2 linked regions of the Sus scrofa genome follow. The protein of the gene in region 1 purifies or fractionates together with the protein of each later gene. This does not show direct contact. Links are inferred from orthologs where the notes say so. Each region holds a gene or a part of one and is shown on either strand. Other genes may lie near its edges.

Evidence for each region.
Region 2: the proteins of ZFYVE16 (region 1) and TOM1 purify together in Homo sapiens (affinity purification with western blotting; 3 studies listed by BioGRID and IntAct, with this or other methods). This does not show direct contact. The link is inferred for Sus scrofa from reciprocal best matches to the Homo sapiens genes ZFYVE16 and TOM1.

The regions. Positions count from the first base shown.
Region 1 is NC_010444.4:89,040,125-89,050,718, forward strand, and holds the start of ZFYVE16 (zinc finger FYVE domain-containing protein 16), read left to right. Parts: upstream 1-4,735; 5' UTR 4,736-5,636; intron 5,637-10,594.
Region 2 is NW_018084968.1:1,845,050-1,855,402, forward strand, and holds the start of TOM1 (target of Myb protein 1), read left to right. Parts: upstream 1-5,059; 5' UTR 5,060-5,244; coding exon 5,245-5,296; intron 5,297-7,546; exon of another isoform or gene 7,547-7,693; coding exon of another isoform or gene 7,694-7,709; intron 7,710-10,353. Other genes in the region: HMGXB4 (HMG domain-containing protein 4), read left to right, coding at 89-133.

The sequences.
Region 1 (10,594 bases):
AACATGTTAGACGATACTAAGAGGAGGGAAGTGTAGAAAAGTCCAGATAACTGAAAATTTTATAGGCCTAAAGACATGGCTTTTTCAAAAGAAAAAAAAAAAGGCAAAGAACAAAAAAGAAACAGGGAATTTTATTAGATGTAAAATAATCTCAATATGTTGAACTCACTTGGATTTTGATTCACATAAGCTATGTTAAATGATGACATTTATGAAATAATTGTAAATATGAACACCAGTGCCTAAATATTTGGCATTGTTGAAGAATTATTGTTAAAATCTTCAGGTGTGATAGTGGTATTGTTAATAAATTTTTGTAAAGAGCTATTTTATTTTAGAAATACATACAGAAATATTTATGAAGTGATAGGCCACGTGAGACTTGTTTCAAAATAATAAGGGTACGAGGTAAGATTGTGGATGAAACAAAGTTATCCATGTTGAAGTTAGATGATGATATTGGCTATAAAAGGATTTCATTGCATTATTACTCCTACTTTGTAAAGTGCTTGTCTTTTAAATATACATCTAGAAAAATTGAGATGATGAAAAGATACCATAAATGACATCTGCTTCAAAATAATCCAGTTGTGGGGGGAGGGGTAGAGTAGGTGGATTTACGGATAAAATAAGATCTATGACCATGAGTTGATATTGAAGCTGAGAGTTCTATTGCACTATTCTACTTTCATATGTGATGGACATTTTCCATAATAAATAGCATTTAAAGTAAAAAAAAAATCACTATCACTCTGAGAAGTACTAGAAATTAAGCATGCATTTACAACACAATGTATTTACCTGGAAAGTCATAATTATAAGTATAGAGTAATTCACTTGTGAAGGAAAAATGCATTAGGAAACAATGTTGCCACAGAAGTCTTATTGAGGTACTGTCCCAGGGTATCATTTGGAATAGCCAGGCCCATAGCTCAGAGGTATAAAACAAAGCTTATCTGTCATAACAGGCAGATATGTTGTAACAAATCAGCCAAAAATCTCCCTGGCACAGATTTCTAGCTCGAGAAGTGCTCTGGAATTCCTCAAGAACCAGATTAATAGAGAAGCCACTGTATCAAGTCTTTATTGCTATGCCAGAGGGAAAGGAGGCTCTGAAGTGCCTCACATTGGTGAGTAAAAAATCCAGTCTAGAAAGTCGCTTCTCACAGTTCATTTGCATAAAACAGTCATCTGGCCCTATTCTGCCACAGGGGCCAGGAGGTACAGTGCCATCAAAACTCCAGAAGAGAGAAGAACTAGAAATATTTACCAAAAAATTCTGACCCCCTTGGAGTTCCCATCATAACTCAGCAGTAATGAACCCAACTAGCATCCATGGTCTCAATGAGTGGGTTAAGGATGTTATTGCCCTGAGCTGTGGTGTAGGTCGCAAACGTGACTTGGATCCCACGTTGCTGTGGCTGTGGTATAGACCAGAAGCTGTAGCTCTGATTTGACCCCTAGCCCAGGAACCTCCATGTGCTGTGAGTGCAGCCCCAAAAAGCAAAAAAAAAAAAAAAAAAAAAAAAAAAAAAAAAAGAATTCTGATCCGATTGACAAGAGAACGTGTGCATGATGCTGAAGCTGTACCAAACTTGAGCCCTGGGAATGACAGTACCTTGCCCCACCCCTAAGACAGTGTCCAGACAAAAGTCATCATCAATCTTTATGCATTACTTCTCTCTTATGACTCACAGTCATGCAATACATTGTATGCAGAGATTGCATAATGAGTGTAAAGTAATTAGTTGGCTGAATTACAAATTCAGCAATACTTTTCAAAAGGAGTTATTCCATTTCCCCTTTTGGATCATTAAAGTAATATGTTCTCATTATAAAAAAAAAAAAACTTGGAAACTATGGAGCATTAGAAAGAAGAGAGAGAAATCACCCATAATGTTACCTTCCAAAGAGAGTCACAGCTAATGTTTTACTGGATTTCCTTCCAAGCCGTTTCTATGCATTTAAAAAAAATTAGCTCTAGCATTTCCATTGTGGCTCAAAGGGTTAAGAACCCAACTAGTATCCATGAGGATACAGGTTCAATCCCTGGCCTTGCTCAGTGGGTTAAAGATCCAGTGTTGCCCTGAGCTGTGGTTTAGGTGGCTCAGATCCCAAGTTGCTGTGGCTGTGGCGTAGGCTTGCAGCTGCAGCTCAGATTCCTCAGCCTGGGAACTTCCATATGCCCTGCCTGAAACCCTAAAAAGCAAAAACAAACAAACTTGCTCTCATGGTCACCAAAACTATAACCATTTCTTCCTTAGAGACATTGTTCCAAATAGCTGATCTAACCAGCACTAGACTAGCAGAAAATTTCTTTAAAAAGGTGTTAGGGCTTTTCCTTGAAACACAGATATTTTAACATGGTGTTATAGCACTTTAAGTGCTAATGGTTAACTAAAAGATGCAGGTCACATTCTGTATTTTTGAGCAATGAATTCCTAGTTCTATCATTGCTTGTTAGTTTAAGACCAGCCATGAAACAAATGAATAATTGTAATAGCTTTATTTGCTACTGGTATTTTCTCCACCCAGTTTATTTATGAAAAGGGAACAGCTTTGGAAGTTATTACAATGGAATTTATGCATCTTAAAATCATAAAGACTCTGGAGTTCCCATCACGGCTCAGCAGTTAATGAACCCGACTAGTATCCATGAGGATGCGGGTTCGATCCCTGGCCTTGCTCACTGGGTTAAGGATCTGGCATTGCCATGAGCTGTGGTATAGGTTGCAGACTCCACTTGGATCCTGAGTTGCTATGGCTGTGGTGTAGGCCTAGCCTGGGAATCTCCATATGCCGTCAGTTCCTCCCTAAAAAGACAAACACCCCAAAAACAAAACAAACAAAGATCATAAAGATTCTAGTTACCTTTGAAAATAAAAACTGCTGATGATCCAAGTAATGACTAGGTGGCATAAAGAATACCTCAGCCAAATATTCTATAACTAGGATAATTTTCTCAAGTCTAGAAAACATTTAGTTATAAACTAGGATCTTTAGGTGAAAGATGATTTGTGGAATGTTTTAGTAATTATTACTCAAATTTTGCCAGAGACTCTTTTTCCTTAATATTTGATCTGATATTGCATTTTGTGTGTAGATTTCTTCTTCAGTTCAATAGACAAAGGAAATCTCAGAAAACTTAACTGACCAAGAATCTATACGAAGGTCTTGTAATTTTCTTATATCACAGCAATCTCTCAATTATTTATCTTAATAAGAGATAATGACATAGTCGATTGTGAACTTCTTATGGGCAAAAATAATAAATTATCTGTGTAGTCCTTACATCTCCCAGCACAAAGCAATGTATAGCGGAAACTCCCATAAACAAATAAATGTGATACAAAGTACAACTGCATTTACATGTGAAAGGTATTTGAGTTTTCCATAACTTGTTTATTTTCTTACTCATCTAAATCCTTGTTTTTTTATTTTTATTTTTATTTTTTTTGCCTTTTTGGCCATTTTTTTAGGGCCGCACCCGTGGCATATGGAGGTTCCCCCGCTAGGGGTCTAATCAGAGCTACAGCTGCTGGCCTACACCAGAGTCACGCCAGATCTGAGCCGCATCTACGACCTACACCACAGATGGCAATGCCAGATCCTTAACCTACTGAGGGAGGCCAAGGAAACCCACTGAGCGAGGCCAAGGATTGAACCTGCAACCTCATGGTTCCTAGTTGGATTCGTTTCCACTGTGCCACGATGGGAACTCCACTTGTTTACTGTTTTTGGCTGCACCTGTGGCATATGGAAGTTTCTGGGCCAGAGGTTGAACCTATGCCTCAGCAGCCACTGAACCACTGCAGAGACGATGCACGATCTTTACCCCTGCACCACAGCAGGAACTCCTAAATCTTTGTATTCTGAAATAGCTCCTTATAATTTCCAAAAGAGAAGTTACTGAATTAGGTCATGTGAACATTTCTTTATCCGATTTGACAAGTAACTTTCCAAATTTTGTTCTAAGTTACATCCCCAAGAAGATAGGAGTCCTCATTTCACTCTATCCCCACCAATGGAGTTTCTTCAGAATATAAACAACCTGGCCAATTAGATCCAAGGGAAATAATGTCTCTTTTGTCTTCTTTTCATTATTAATGAGTTTTAACATTAATAAAATATGCAGTAGGCATTTAAATTTCTTAATTTGTGAACTGACCATTCGTACATATACTTTTCCCACTTATCTGTTTAAGGCCTTATTACTTTCTATTTCTAGTCTTTGTCCTTACACTGTGCAACAGAATATTTTTACCTCAAATATGCACTTGTACACAGGCATCTCTGCTGTGTTTCTTCAAGGGTAGTGACCCCATTTCATTTATCTGGGAGCAACACTGGGCACAGTAGAGACAATGCATACTGGGCTTTGTGTAATTATTTTTAGGATTAAACAAGCTAAGCTAAACATAAACGAGATAACCTAAGCAAAGCATCTAACACACTGTCACATAGCAGATGCTCAATAAATTATTTTAATCAATCAAAAGAAGTTTCACCACTGAAGCAAAACCACACTATTTCAGCGCTGAGGAAAATCAAGATAAAATATCTTTGAAAGATCACAAATTATATTTGTCCAAGTTCAAGATTTGGGATTTGAACACTGATTCAAATTACATCTGACTGCGATACTCTTGAGATACTACAACTCTGACATTTTTAAAGACCAGTATGAATTCTGAGCTGGTTAAAATCTTTCGGTAAGTGGTGGATTCTTTTCCCCAGTCTGTAATGACACCCTGGCCCCAGACAGACGTCTCTTCTTCCATTTAAATTTATAGGAAACTTCTGGTGAAAATAGTAAAACACAAGCACAAATATGCATCACATGATTGACATTTGCTTCTCCAGATTAATTAGCTTTTGTTTTCAGACAGGAAGGCAGCTGTTCTCCGACCACTGCCAGAAAAGCAGAACTAAAACAACCAGAAGGAAAGACTGAGCCCTTGGGAATGGCCAATCAGCTGGAGGGCCTGAGGCACTGCAGTGGGTTAGGAGCATTTTTTTGCTGCCGGGGCGGAGGGGGAGCTGGTTGCAAAACCAGTATGAAGCAAAAAAAAAAAAAAAAAAAAAAAAGGTTTTCCGGGAGGACAGCAGCGCGGAGAACAGGCCGGGTGTGTCCGGTACAGGCCCGAGCTGCCCGAGCTCTGCGCCAGCCCTGTGAACGCGGAGGCTGGGGGCGGGGAAGCTGTGTCTAGGTCAGCGAAGGGCACAGGAAGCAGGCCACCGACACTGGTCGCTTCGGGATCCCTGCCCCGGGGCCTCTAGTGGGAAACCGAGTCGAGGACTACAGAAGATCCTCCGTCGTCCCCCTCACCCCAGAACCGCCTCAGGCATTTCCGGTAAGCAGCCCAGCGCCCAGGGATTTAGATCCCGCATCGCAGCGCGCAGGCGCCTCGCGAGTAGGGAGGCCGCGGACGCGGACCGAGGGGGCGTGTGAGTCAAAGGAAAGCTTCCTCTGCGCCTGCGCTATCTGTTCTCCCCAGTTGCGGGTGAGGGAAGGTGGTGGAAACAAACCTTGAGCCGACGTCCCGCGCTCCCTGCACTCCCGGCCGGCGTCGCTCTTCATTCCTCTGCGCGGTGTCGCGTCCAGGCGTCAAAGAGCTCCGCCGGGGTGTGGGGAGGTAAGTGCCCCCTGCAACAGGCGTCTTGGCCTCTCTTCGCCCCTGCTGCCCTCACAGAGAAAGCAGGGTGGCCGCTGGTCTCTCTGCCCTGGGCGCCGGGGCTGGCCCTCCTGTCCCTCTAGGGGCCAAGCCTGGGCCCCCGATTCATCCCTTTCCCAAGCCCCCTGGGCTGGCCGGGAAAAAAGACTCAAACCAGGTTGCCGCTCGTTAAAGCCGGGAGGTGCGGACCAGGCCAGGATGGCAATCACGGCGGTTCTTTGCCGGGTCCCGCCCACCTGGGCCTCCCAGAGTGCACGGCGCTGGGGAGAGGGCGACCCCCGCTCTCGGCTGGTGCTGGGTGAAGCGCCCCCAGGGCTGCCATCCCGGCTAGAGAAGGGGCTGCGTCTGCTGGAGGGGCTGGTAGCCCCTGCGCTGAAAGGTCTCGGCACCGGCAGACGAATCTGTCATCGGCGCCCGAGTTTCGCAAAGCCCATTCCCCGCACCATCGTATTGTCTTACCGTTTTTGACCAGAAGGACGCGGTAGTGTTCCTTTCCACTATCTTTTCTTTGATACGTTTGAAAAATTGTAAAAGATGACCTAACTTTTAACTGTTAACTTATTTGTACTACCGTGATTGCATATTCAGACTTGAGGGTGTTCTTGTTAATTTGATTGTATGGAAACCAGCTCATAAATTTGATAACAATATTTTTCACTTAACAAAATAGGTGGTTTGAGGATCTTTATTATTTTGAGCTTTTGAATTGGCAAAATTTGAGTGGTTTGATAATTTTCACCTCATTTCGTCCCCCTTTTCTCCCCTGGACACTATTGTCCAAAACTTAAATGGAATAAAGAATAAGGAAAAATAATCAACTGTAACTCCACTTTAAAGATATTCAGCACCAGTTAATTTTGACTTTTTACCTCTCAGTTTTCCCATGGCATTTTCTTAATTAAGATGAGATTATAATTTATAGACAGTTAGGTTGCCTGTTTTTCTTGCTTAAAATTATATTTTAAGGTGTTCCCCGTATGGCTCAGCGGAAACAAACCGGACTAGTATCCATGAAGTCAGGGGTTCAATCCCTAGCCCAGATCACTCGGTTAAAGGACTGGGCGTTGCTGTGCGCTCTGGTGTAAGTTGCAGAAGCAGCTCGGATCCCTTGCGGTGGCTTAGGCTTTAGCTGTAGCTCCTATTCAACCACTAGCCTGGGAACCTCCATATGCCTAGGGTGCTGCCCTAAAAAGCAAAGAAAAAATTTTATTTTTAAGCATTCCCCTGTTTTTTGAAAACTTCATAAACATAACTTTATGATTTTTGATTACACAAGTGATATATGAGCAAAATATCTTTCAAAACAGTTAACACTACAGAGGAGTTCCTCTGTGGTGTAGCGGAAAAGAATCCATATTCATAAGAATTCAGTTTCCATTCCTGGACTTGTTCAGTGGGTCTGGGATCCGGTGTTGCCATGAGCTGTGGTGTAGGTCACAGGCTCATCTCAGATCCTTTGTTGCTGTGGTGTAGGCCGGCAGCTGTAGCTCTGATTTGACCCCTAGCCTGGGGTCTTCCGTATGCCCCAGGTGTGTGGCCCTAAAAAGCAAAAACAAAAAAAACCTTACACTACAGATAAAACTAAATTCCTATTTAATTATCATCCCCAATTACAATGTTACATAATATGATGGTATCACAGTTTATTTAATCCAGTGAGTCTTAGGATCCCCTTTATACACTTAAAAGTTTTTGAGGACTGAAAGATTTTCTGTTTTCTAATGCAGTGTATATGCTATTTTAGAAATTAAAACTAAGATAATTAAAACTTTGTACTTATTTAAAAAATAATAAGTCCATTATATTATATATTGAATTAATAATATTGTTTAAAGTAACTATTTTCTTTTAAAAATTTAGTGAGAACAGTTTTTCATATTTTTGAGATGACTTTAATGCCTGGCTTTATAGGAAACAGATTCTCATATTTGCTTTTCCCTTCAGTCTCCTTTGCTTCTTTGTTTAGGCTGAAGTATTAAGAAAATCCAGGAGTTCCTGTTATGGCTCACTGAGTTAAGAAGTTGACATTGTGTCCTTGAGAGTAGGGGTTCTATCTCTGGCCTCCCTCAAGTAGGGTAAGGGTCTGGTGTTGCTGTACTCTGCAGTGTAGTTCGCAGATGTGGCTTGGATCTGGTATGGCTGTGGTGTAGGCCTGCAGCTGCACCTCTGATTCAGCCCCTAGCCTGGGAACTTCCATGTGCCAAAGGTGCAGCCCTAAGAAGAAGGGGGGGAAAAAAAAGAAAAGAAAATCCATTCTTGTACAGATAAATATTTCGTACAGGAAGGACCTCACTCTTCCAAAATCTCTTGGATTCTTTTAGGGGGTCCTCAGACCACAGTTTCAGAAAGCTGATTTAACCATTCTTTTTTTTTTTTTTTTTTTTGTCTTGTTGTTGTTGTTGCTATTTCTTGGGCCGCTCCCGCGGCATATGGAGGTTTCCAGGCTAGGGGTTGAATCGGAGCTGTAGCCACCGGCCTACACCAGAGCCACAGCAACGCGGGATCTGAGCCGAGTCTGCAACCTACACCACAGCTCACGACAACGCCGGATCGTTAACCCGCTGAGCGAGGGCAGGGACCGAACCCGCAACCTCATGGTTCCTAGTCGGATTCGTCAACCACTGCGCCACGACAGGAACTCCTGATTTAACCATTCTTGCTTGGATGAGCTGTTAGGTTCTTTGCAGTTTTCACTATTTGAAATGTTGTAACATTGAAAATTCTTTGTGATGTGTTGTTCTTGTGTGTAAGTGCTAGTGTTTCTCTACAAGTAGAATTGCTAGGTCATAGAGTTTGTTCTTTAAAAAAAAAGTTTTAATAGACATAAACATGGCTTATGATGCCTCCATGATTTTCTGTGTTGTAATGTTGGTATTTAGATTCTTTCAATTAATAATTTGGTGAAATACCTTTGTATATTTTCAGTTTTGAATTTTTAAATTGAATGTCTAAAGAGAGAACTGTTAGATCAAATGTTAGGAATCTTTTTGAATCCATTGATCCATATTGTTACATTGTTCCCCTGAGAGAGGATACCAGTTTACTTCTATCAGCAGTATCTGAGATGCTCTTTATATCAGATGCTTACAAACATTGAAGAATTTTATTATTTTTTTGAAGACTTTTCTTATTAAAAAGATTATATTCAGGGAGTTCCCGTCATGGCACAGTGGAAACGAATCCAACTGGGAACCACGAGGTGGAGGGTTCGATCCCTGGCCTCTCTCAGTGGGTTAAGGATCCAGTGTTGCCGTGAGCTATGGTGTAGGTTGCAGACGCGGCTCGGATCCTGTGTTGCTGTGGCTGTGGTGTAGGCCAGCAGCTACAGCTCTGATTAGACCCCTAGCCTGGGAACCTCCACATGCCACAGGTTTGGCCCTAAAAGGAGAAAAAGACAAAAAAAAAGTTATATTCAGATTTAGTAAGGTATGTGTTCTAATTTGCATTTCTTTGGGAGTTCCTGCTGTGGCACAGTGGGTTAAAAATCTGACTGCAGCAGTTTGGATTGCTGTGGAGGTGGGGGTTTGATCCCTGGGGGCCTGGCCCAGCACAGGGGTTAAAGGATCTGACGCAGGTCAGGTCATAGCTGTGGCTCAGATTCAGTCCCTGGCCCCGGAACGTCCATAAGCTATAGATGTGGCCTTAAATTAAAGAAATAAATAATTTGTGTTACTTTGATAGTGCAGATTGTACATTGAATGTTTTTTCATAATCTTACTAGCTGCCTGTTCATATTATGTGCCCAATTATCATTTTTAGGAGGAAAAGAAAGAAATTATCTTTTTTTCTGATTATAAAAGTAGTATTTTTTTGTTTAAAAAATACTATAAAGGAGTTTCCATCATGGCTCAGTGGTTAACGAGTCCGACTAGGAACCATGAGGTTGGGGGTTTGATCCCTGGCCTTGCTCGGTGGGTTAAGGATCCCACATTGCCGTGAGCTGTGGTGTAGTTTGCAGACGCGGCTCGGATCCCGCATTGCTGTGGCTGTGGTGTAGGCTGGTGGCTACAGCTCCGATTAAACCTCTAGCCTGGGAACCTCCATGTGCCACATGTGTGGCCCTGGAAAAGGCAAAAAAACAAAACAAAACAAAACAAAAAATACTATAAGGACATAAAATATAGATGTGAAAAGCTTACATAATCACAGACAACGTTATTAATAGTTTGGTGTTTGCGCCTCTATTTTTTTCTGTCTTGCTAATACTATGTATATGTTTGCTAATACTGTATATATGTTTTTAGAACTTACTATAAAAATGGGTCCAGGAATTCCTGTTGTGGCTCATTAGGTTTGTACTATGTACTATGAATGAAGTTTTACAATTTGCTGTTTTTGTCTTTTAACATTATATATTAGATATTTTTCTATGGAAGTGGCACACATAAATAAACTTTAGAATAGAGAGTATATCTTGTATTTCTTTTGTGTCTTCTGTACAGGATAGATTACTAGCACTGTAAGTAAATCGGTTGATTGAAATGGAAAGTATGTGCAGCTTAGTAAGATTTCATTTCGAAAGATTTCAGTGTTATACCTTTTAGAAATTGTTAGATTGATTTATTATTTAATTATCTTACTGGTTTTTTGGTGTCTTTTCAGTGCCTCAGATAACATAATGCTTAGTAGTATATTGCTATTTAGATAGAAATACTTTATCAGTAGATGTTATTTAATAAATTCCATCTGGCTTTTTCTAATGAACTGTTTCTATACCTTTTAGTTCTATGCTTTATTTATTTATTTATTTGTCTTTTGTCCTTTTAGGGCTGCACCAGTGGCATTTGGAGGTTCCCAGGCTAGGGGTCTATTCGGAGCTGTAGCTGCTGACCTACACCACAGGCACAACAACGTCAGATCCGAGCCACATCTGCGACCTATACCACAGCTCACAGCAATGCCGGATCCTTAACCCACTG
Region 2 (10,353 bases), on another chromosome or scaffold:
TTTCTCATCTCTCTCCCCTGAACAAAGAAATGCCTCAGGGAATTAAAGCAAGGTACCCTTCAAGTGACCCTTTTCCCTTGTTTTGCAGTCAAACACACTAGACAACATTGCTTACATCATGCCTGGACTGTGACAGCAAAGACTCCCGGGACAGAAACCTTATCCTACCCTGCTGCCGGCTTGTGTGTATGTGACTGTTCCAGATTCCTTCACTGGCCTCTGGGTGTAGGTTTTAAATTTTTATATATATGCATATACATACATATATATATAATGTACAATATATACATAGGACTATACTTTGCTTTTAGTAATTTTATGAGATGGCAGAGGTTTAGCCAAGAGGAAACCTTGGCATGAGTATGGGCTTGGGAGTCTTTCTTTCCTGTGGTGGATAAATCTGCCTTAAAAATCAATGTAACTTGGGGGCTGGGGGCTTGTTCTGGATGCTGAGTGCATCGCTTTACAGACAGCTAAAATGTGATTTTTTTCCAAACTCAGTTGTACCTCCAGACCCATCACTGACCATTTGCCTTACCTGTGTCTTACCGTCTGACATGTAATGGGAAAGAATATGGGAAGACGTCAGTTTACTGAAAGTACAAAGCTTTTCAACTTGAAGTGACCTAGGTGGGAGGTGATACCATCGTCCCCATCTTAATGGTTATTGTGATGGCCTAAGTGAACTTAGTACAGGCTTCATTCCAATTCCTGCTGTACCGGTGTCCATGTCTCAAAATGTATTGTAATTACTGGTACCGTTGGCAGCCATAGTAGGGGCCAAGGCGTTCTGTGAGCCCTGGAGAGGGTAAAGCTGTCAGTGCCACCAGTTGAACGGCATATATTGTTAGCTGACCCAGACCATCTGGTCTGCAGAACTAAGCGCTGGTGTCTTCCGTTGGCAGTGTTAGCTTAGCTCACAGTTCTGCTGCTTAGTTGCTTGGTGTTGTGGAAGGTGAACTTTGCCCAGCCTGATTCTTGGGTTCATCTCATTGGCTTCCCTGCTGGGCAGATACACAGCGTTCTGCATTCCACACGTGAGCAAATTGCAAAAAACGAAAAAAAAAGTACTCTATTCTCATGTAGGTTTATTTATGTGCGCGTGTGAATGTGTGTTTTAATTATGTGTATTTAACTCTTAAACTCTTAGATTTTAATTTATCCTGTAAATTTCTGTATATATAATTTAAAAACAAGAGCCTCCACCAGCAACAGCATGTGGAAGATACAGATTTGTCTTTTCTTCCTTCCTTCCTTCCTTCCTTCCTCTGGTCTCCTCTGGAAACTCCAAATCATCTATACTTTAAGGTATCATGCCTCAAAAAGGAATCATTATGTTGGGATTCAAATTCTTTATAATTCAATAATGTCAAGAAAGTAAAATAAAAAGGAACGTAACCATTCCCAGATGCCCTTATTTCCAAAGAACCAGACTCTTGCTTCCTAGATGCAAAGAAGACAGTTGAGCGCTTAAGGGTTGTTTATACATTGAGTGTGAGGTTCCACGTCACAACTCAGCTCTGAGGTAACTGCTTTCTTCCCGTGGCCTGGTCAGAGCACTGCAGCATCACGATACATCAGCCAGCCTGCATCCGATTTCATTGCTTCCTTCCCACCGGTGTGGTCACAGGGCTGTGTTTCTTAAAGGGATTCTGGTTACTGAATGCCTTTCTCACCTCAGAGCAGTTTTGAGATTTAATTGGGGGAAACAGGAATGTTTGGGAACCAAAATCAAGAAGAGCAGAAATCTCGGTTTGGTCTTGTGCATTAGAACCTGTGCCACACCGCCTCCTCTGATCCCATGTCAGGTTCCTGTCTGACACAGGGTATCCAGGAAGAGCCTTGAGGACATGGACTAGTACAAAAAAAGAAGTCAGTCCTACCATTGTCATTTGTGCACATCAGTGAAATCCTGATGAGGACCTGCTTTTTCGTTTGTTTTCCTTTACAATCCAACCCTATTGTATTTGTATTTAAAATTTGTACACATTTGTATAATAATCTGTTCCTTGTGGTATTTGGTACTATTAGAGGAAAAACTTTGGATTCAGACCTTCTTGCAGTTTTTATATCATTGTTTTATTTTGTTTTTTAAATAAATTCTAGCGGTTTGATCCAAATCCCATTACAGTTGTATAAAGAAACAAAATTTTGTACTTATATTATTAAAAATCACATTTTTAATATTTGTAGTCCAGTGTCAGCTATCTTTTCCCTGTTGCTAACCAGAGTTGCTATGAAATTTTAAAACTGGTTTTCACACTCCAGCCTACCATCATTTTCTTAAAAAGGAAACCTGTCAGGAGTAGAGGTCAAGTTTCTGATCATAGCCATCTTCCCACATCTTCTCTGTGTCTCTCTCTCTTTGTGTTATGGAGTCTCATTGTCTCGCTTTTGCAAATTACAAACCCAGTGGCTCTGGCAGTAGCTCTATTCATTGGCAAATGAAATTGTATGTACATTACAGTATTGCCCCAACTCAAGAAATATTTATCAGTCTTGTATAAAAGTCACATCCGGATCCTGCGCTTCGGTACTGTCCTGACTTGGTGGTTGATTCTGCGCTGGATAAATCACTTAATCCTCATAAGCATCTGAAGTCCCATCTGTAAAGTAGTGGTAATGTCACTTCCCTGTCTCGAACCTTGCAGCCAGCCAGCCTAACATGAATGTTTAGTGATACTGTGAACATTCAATATATGAGACGTGACCTTTCAAGGTAAAAACCTCAGCGCAAACACGAAGTGTTAATAGTCACAGTGCAGTATTATGATTGATTGAAGGACTCGCTTCCTAGGGAGAAGCCGCCAGAAAGAGACCGCCATAGTGCCGAATGAATGACTAGAATGATTTGCATGTTTTATCTCACTTAATCCTCCCCAAAGCCTCATGAGTATTATCGCTCTTTACAAATGAGGAGACAGAGGCAGAAACATAAAGTTTTCCTAAGTTTATACAGCTAGTAAATGGCAAAGCCAGAATAAGCACAATGGTACAGCTGACCCAAAAGCCACTTTCCAAGTTAAATTGTATATGTAATTCATCAGAATCCTCCATTCTCTGCAGTCCTGAGCAAATGTGGTTGTAGGAAATCTATGAGACCTTTCTGTTGTTCAAATGTCCTTTTGCCCTAGTTGGATTTTACTACACAGACCTCATTTTTCTGGTCATACTATTGTCTTTGAATTTTGGAGGCAAAGTATCTTGATTTTTTTGTTGTTGTTGTCTAAAAATATTTAAAGGATATAATCGATTAATTACATTTATGCAATATGTCGTTCTTAAGGGACTTAAATATTTTTATCCTCAGGAAGGCATTTGATATTATATTGCTAAAACATTTAAAAGGAGAAAAATTAAAACAGATTTTTTTACTAAATGAGGTTGTTCCCTGTTAGCAAACATTTTTAAAACAGTTTTAATTGGTTTTGTACTGCACTTAATGTTTGCCATTTACATTCCTATCCATTTTATTGTGAAGTCCACACACTTCCACTTCTAATTTAATAGCCATCCAGCATTCTGTTTGCATGGAGTTAATATGATTTCACTCCCTGTTAGAGGGCACGTGGGTTGTTTCTGTTTTGTTTTGTTTTTTACCATGAAGGATGTATGGCTGTTTCATTCTCGGCAGTAAAGCCAATATCTGCCCATAATCATTTTAAACCAGAGTGATTCAAGAAGGCAAGTACTTCTGGTAAATCACCACCCAACAGGGGGATGTTAAAACTTGTTAATGGAAGGATCCAAAGGAAATTCATGCTAAATATTCTATACACCCAAGCAGTACACCTAAATGAAACAAAAACATGAAAGCTACCTGACATGAAGTTCATCGTAAATGTACATTCCCCCTTATAGTCCAAATACCATTACTGAGAGACTGATTGAAATTTTCACGTGTTAGTCATTGCGCTAGATGCCAGTGGCTGGGATAGACACAGCCTCCGTGCCCTCATGGAGCATCAGAGCACAGGAGTATCTCTGTAAAGGTTTTGTATTGTACAGTAATGATGTCTGCTCAAACAGATTAACCTCTATAGGTTCTCTATCATCAGAAATGTGTGCAGCTTACTAGCCTTTCAAACTTAGAATTCACAAATATCATGCTCAATAAATACTAAAGCACCCTGCCGTAGCCCGGACTACCAAAGCAGTAGTTATTGTATCTTTTGGAGTGCCTATCATTAGAAGGGGAAAAACAAACAAACATAACCTGTAGTTCAGATATCTAATGAGTAGGCAATATAGCTGAAACATGGCACACAAGAAGGCTGAAGAAGATATTAGAATTACAAAGCTGGGAAAAGCCTTTGAGATTTTTGGTTTGGGGTACACTGCTGTACCTCAGGGACCTTGGAAACCCAGAGATCAAATCGTATCTCTCTGCCTTTTTTTCTTCTGAAAGGCTCCACTGCTTTCCACATTTCTCAAAGGAGCCTGTGACCTAAAAAAAAGAGTTGAGTCCTTGATCTAATTGCAGAATCCAGAGAAAATGGAAGCTTGCTGTTTGAATCACACAGTAAATGAATGACAGAGATGGGTTCCAGGACCCACTCCTGACATCTGTGTGCTTTCTGCCACCCTGAGCTCTAGCCCATCCCCAGCTGCAATTCTTTGAGTTGGCTCTCGGTGTCAAGGCGTCACAAACCCCTGGCCCTTGCCTCCCATTTGAGAAGTAAGGGAATCTGGGCTGCAAGCAAGATACGTCTTGCAGCCAGGAGACCTCGAAGAGAAGAGTCTTCTCAGGGCAGGGAGACCACAGGCCAGAGAGGCTGTCAACCCCAGCGGTGGTTGTGTAGTCATAATGAGGTCCTAAGGGGCTGAGACTAAAAGCAAAGGCTATGGGCTCAGCTTGCTGGGTAACCTCACACAAGCCATTTCCCGGGTCTGAGGCTGGGTTTTCCGGGTCTGTTGAGATCAAAGGACCACGCCCCTAAACTCAGAAAAAAAATGGAGGGCGTGGCTTAGGGGGACACACGTCTCAAGACCCGCAGCCGCCCTACGTGGTGCGTGACGTCCGCCGACGCCGAGGAAGCCGCAGTGAGGTCATCGCCCTCCGCCTTCGGGAGCCGACCGACCCTCCTCGTCAGGGGCGGGGCCTGCGGCAGCGCTCCTGGCTCCTTCTGCCCCGCCCCACCCGCGCCTCCCCGAGGACCGTCCAGCGCGTCACGTGACGGGTCGGCGGCGCTGGCGGTTGCTGTCAGCTGATTCCCCGGCTTGGTGGCAGCGGCAGCCGCGGCAATGGACTTTCTCCTGGGGAACCCGTTCAGCTCTCCGGTGGGACAGCGCATCGGTGAGTCCCAGGGCTCCGCCCAGCCTCAAAGCAGGGCTCCGCGCCCGTCCCTTGCCCCCCGGGGTGCCTCCAGGTCCCCAGTCACACCCCAGAAGGAGGCTGGGTGGGGAAGGAGGAGAACGAGGCTGGCGAGGCTAGCGAGGCTGGCCTGTCTGTCCCGAACCTGGCCCCGCCCCTTCTCCCGCCTACTTTGATTGACAAAAGCTGCGGTCCATTAGGGAGCCTTGGCTTGTGATGAATGCCCACGGCAGCCAATAGGTAAAGAGAGAAGGCGGGTCAGGGCCTCCGTGTCTTGGCCAATGTGAGGTTGTTGGGGTCGCGAATCCAGGGAGAAAGTTTAGGGGGTTAAAGGGACTGCGTGGTTTTACAGCCTTTGGGTCCCTCCACTGTTCCCCTGTTGCTTCCCCTACTCGCGTCAGCCGGGTGGGCTCTCGCCGTCTCCTTCCTGGCGCTCCAGGCGCTGCGAACACGGATTCCTGAGAAGAGCTGGAAGTCCCTTTTCCCAGGACCAGGGCGCGGGGGCGGGGGTGGGGGGGCGTTTAGGCGGGCAACTTGAGCAGGGGGGGCGGCGGAGAGCCCTGCTTCCTTTGGGCCCAGGGTAGACGCTGGGGAACCCGCTCCGCCAAGAGGCCAGGCCTTTGAAAGCAAAGCCTCGGAACGTGCCTGCCTTGGCCTCGCTCGCCGGCCGGCGTCAGATGGTCCGCATAGACCCGCAGACTCTGAGCTTAGAGTGATTTTAGGAACCACCTGATTCGGCCTCCTTCATTTCTCAGTAGAGGGGAAGGCCAAGCTCTCTGGCTGAGACACAGGCACACTCAGATCTCCTGATTCTCTGGCCTCCTGTTGACGGGAGACTTACTAGTTTGTGACGTTGCATCTGTGTACGGAGGTTTCCTCACCTGTGATGAGGGGATAATAATGGTCCCCACGGATTGCTATGTAAATTAAACTCGTTAATACATGTAAAGTACTTAGAACACTGCCTGGCACGTGACCGATGCTATTTTAAAAAAAAGTAATATTTATTATCATTGTAACTGAGAAACCACCAAATGAGGGGCAGGAATTCCTGGAAATGGCTGGCCACTCGGTCTTGGCTATTCATTCCTGCGCACCAATGCAGGGAGGGCCTACAGGCCATCACCCGAACAGCTGACACTTCTCCAGGATAGTCTGGGCGTGCCTCGTTGCATGAAGAAACCGCGGCAGTACTGTGAAACTCTCCATCTTCTTGATGGTCTTTAGCCTTGAGTCCAGACCGGGAAGATTGGATCTTTGAGGCAAGACTTTCTTTTACATGGAAACCAAACCTCACTTCATTCTGTTAACCCAGCTATGTTGAAATTGCCCCCGTGGCCGTTTGTGGCTCTTCTGAGGTTTTGTAATCAAATGTCTTCAAGAGGAGCCTGAAGGTCAAGAATTTACACACCAGGAAGCTCCTGGACCAGAGAGGGGAAGCTGCCACCTCAGGACCACTTGCCCGCCGCACCTACTACTCACCCCAGTGAGTCATTGTTTTGAAACAGAAAAGAGAAGGCAGCTCTTCCCTCATTGTTATTTTTGCAACTGCAGATACTCCTGCTTTCATCATGTGCCAAGTTCCAGGGTTCTTATCCCCCTACCCTCCCTCCCCAAAATCGAGACTTCATGATAGTCAGCCACATATTCCTGAGGCTTTTTATAGCAAAGCTCACTTGTACTCCCTGCTTTAGGTTGTCAAAAGAAAGCAGCTCCTCTTTTTACCCTGAAAGGTTACCTGTCTTGGGCAAGAAATACTCAGTCCAAAGAGCATGGTACTAATTCGTCATACCTTAAAGCACAGAACAAGTCTTACTGCAGGAACAGTCCTTACCCTGGGGCTCTTCTGACCCCAGGCTTTCCTCAGAATCCACTGGGAAGTCTAGTTAAAGCAGTGAAGGCTGAGCCCCACCTCCAGAGTATGTGACTCTGTAGGTCTGAGGCAGCCACTGGATTGAAAAACCACACGTTGAAAACCTTGGTTCTAGCCCGTCCCCTTCATTTCACTCAGGAGCCTGAGGTCCCGAGAGGGAAGGTGGAGGCCAGGACTCACCCAAGACCCCAATGAAATGATGGAAACGCTGATCTGAATGCCCCAAAGCCACTGAAATATGAACCAAAGCTGAAGAGGCTCTAAAAGTAGAAATGAAAAATGTCTACCATTTGAGTTATGCCCTCAGTACTCCTTTGCATGCTTTTGCTCTTTTTTCTTTCTTTTTTTTTTGGATAAAGACGCAACGCCAGCCTTGATTGCTTGTGATTACTATTGACCTAGTATCAGCTGCCTGGACTTCCGTAAACTGCAGGGACGAAATAATCTCTTCTCAACCCTGCCGGCACCCCCTGTTGAGAGTAGAACCCTGAGCACTGTGGATCCTCATGGTGCTAAGCAGGGGTGAGTGTCACTTGACTCGAAGTCTCCAGCCACCCCCACACACCCTCTTTGTGCTTGCTGCTCTCTCTGCCTGCAATGCCTGCTCCGGTGTGCATCCTTCAAAGCCCAGGCGTCATCACCTCCTCGCTGAGGGCTCCTCTGTCCTCTTCAGACCCAGCCATTGCTTTCATGCCCTCCCATCAGCCTCGCTCCATAGGATTCTTGGCTCTCTGCCTTTGGGCTTCGAGCCTCTGCTTCTTCCTGGGTGGAAGGGTGGTTGTAACCATATCCACGTCTCAGGATGGCTGAGAGAGCGAAGTAAGAGCTCCCTGGAGAGGGCCCGGCCTGCTGTGAGTGGGCAGCAAACACCATTATCACTTTTGTTATTTCCACCGTCATCACACTAATAAAGTGCCGTCTCACTGTTAGTGGTTGGGCGTGTCTCCCCTGCTGGACCAGACTTCCTGAGAACAGGTGCCGGACCTTAGATCCAGCCCCTTGGCACTTCGCATGGCACCTGGCACATAGTAGGAGGGAAGGAAGGAGAAAGAAAGGAACCGTGTGTGAGCAAAGCCAGGTGCCATGCTGGTATCCCAGCCCTGTTGTCCAACTCAAGTTCATGTGCCTGACGCACGGTAAGGCTAAACACAGCAAAACGTAGAGGAGCTTGGAGCAGAGAAGGGCTTGTTGCAAGGGCCAAGCCAGGAGAGCGGGCTGCTCATGCTCAAAAGCTCTGAAACTCCCCACTGGTTTTCCGGGAAGAGTTTTTAAAGGCAAAATTGCGGGGAGGGGAGGGCTGCAGGGTGTGTGACCTTCCTCGGACTGGTTGGTGGGGAGGGTACAGGGCGGTGCTCCAGGAATCTCAGTCCTCAGCCTTCTGGTTCCGTCCCGGCTGGGGTCTGCGGGCTTGTGCTCCTCCACCTGGCCGGGGCCCCAGCTCCTGTGAGAACCCAGAGATGTGGATCTGAGGGTTCAGGCTCCTGAAGAGGAACTAGGAGTCTGCCTTCTTGCTGCACTATTATTTCTTGACTGCTTTTCCTTTGTTCTGTGTCCCCTCCCTTCCCTAATTAGTAGCTGTTTGACTCTGCCCTTTGGAACTCAGGGAGGGTCTAGGCGGCTGAAACCTTTTTTCCTACAAACGAGAAACAGGGAACACAGAGAAGCTTTTGTACCCGGAAGGGCCTTGGAAGACCCTGCTCCGTTTCAGTCCCCGCCTTTCTTTGATGCTCTCCAGTCTGGAGGGGGAACAGGTGTGGGAATGGAAGCTTTAGGCAGAGGCTAAGCATAAACTCGGCAAAAGAGCTCAGGTTTAGTGGGATTCGGTTTCAACCCTACAAAATTTTGCTATTTTTCTCCCATGTCACTAAAAGTAAGTGAGGAGGAAACTATTCCTTCCCAAAGTTGCCCAGCCCATTAGGGTCGGGCCCCAGACCCAAGTGTCTCTGGCTGCAGACCCCAGGTCCTCTCTGGCACTCTCACCACCCTGCCTCTGGCTGATCATCGCTTAGCTGGAATTTGCAGCCACCCAACCCTCCAACTAATACAGTTCTGTTGGATCCACACACTAGCTTTTCTGATTATGACACACATCTAGGTCTGTGCACATTCCCAGGTCACTCACCTGTCGACTGAAAAGAAAAAAATACACAACCTAAACGTTGACAATTATGTTTTATCCGAGGAGCTTACCAAGGACCATAGCCTGACTAGCAGGTGGCTCGAGGGTCTGTTCTAAAGAGGTAAGGGAGGAGTTCCCGTCGTGGCGCAGCAGAAACAAATCCCACTAGGAACCATGAGGTTGCAGGTTCAATCCCTGGCCTCACTCAGTGGGTTAAGGATCCAGCATTGCCATGAGCTGTGGTGTAGGCCGGCAGCTGTGGCTCAGATTAGACCCTTAGCCTGGGAACCTCCGTGTGCCATGGGTGCGGCCCTAAAAAGCAAAAAAATAAAAAATGAAAAAAACATAAAGAGGTAAGGAAGGAGCCAGGATACAGAGGTGTTTTGCCCCATGTAGCTGAACATCAAAAGATTAATGCTAATCACAAGAAAACAGGCGTCTCAAGTTAATGATTTCAGTGCTTTTCCCTGTATGGGAAGATTCAAGAGCCTGTGCCTTTTGAAATCATTCCTTTGATAGCCATCTTAACTATCTAGGGCCCGTATCCTGTTTTTCTCTTTTCTGATTTCCCCTCAGGGGCTGCAGTGGCTGAGCTTGATGGCCACAGTTGCCTTTGTGCCTGACATGGCAAATGACATTTTTGTCCACTTACCCTTATCTATTAGGAGAGCTTCCCGCTGGCACAGCCTGTGGCTGAAAGGATCCCAGAGAGCGAGTGGTAGCTGGTATTGACGTAGCCCTCTTCTTCCAAGGATTTTCAAACCCTTTCCAAGTATTCTCTGAGGACAGATTGAACTGCCTGGGTTTTATAGAGAGAGGTCAGAGGGCGAGCCAAGAATCTCATTTTCCGCTTCTGGTGTCAGCTCACCCCTAGCACTTTGAGCTGAGACATACCTGACCCCCTGAGAGCGAGCTGCAAAAGACAGAGAGTAAATGCAGGCAGCGCCTGGGGAACAGCCCCCCATGCACGCCCCCCCCCAGGAGTTGGGGGAGGCGGGGCGGGCCAGATGTGATGGGAGAAGAGCCCAGAGCCTAAGACTGAGGGGT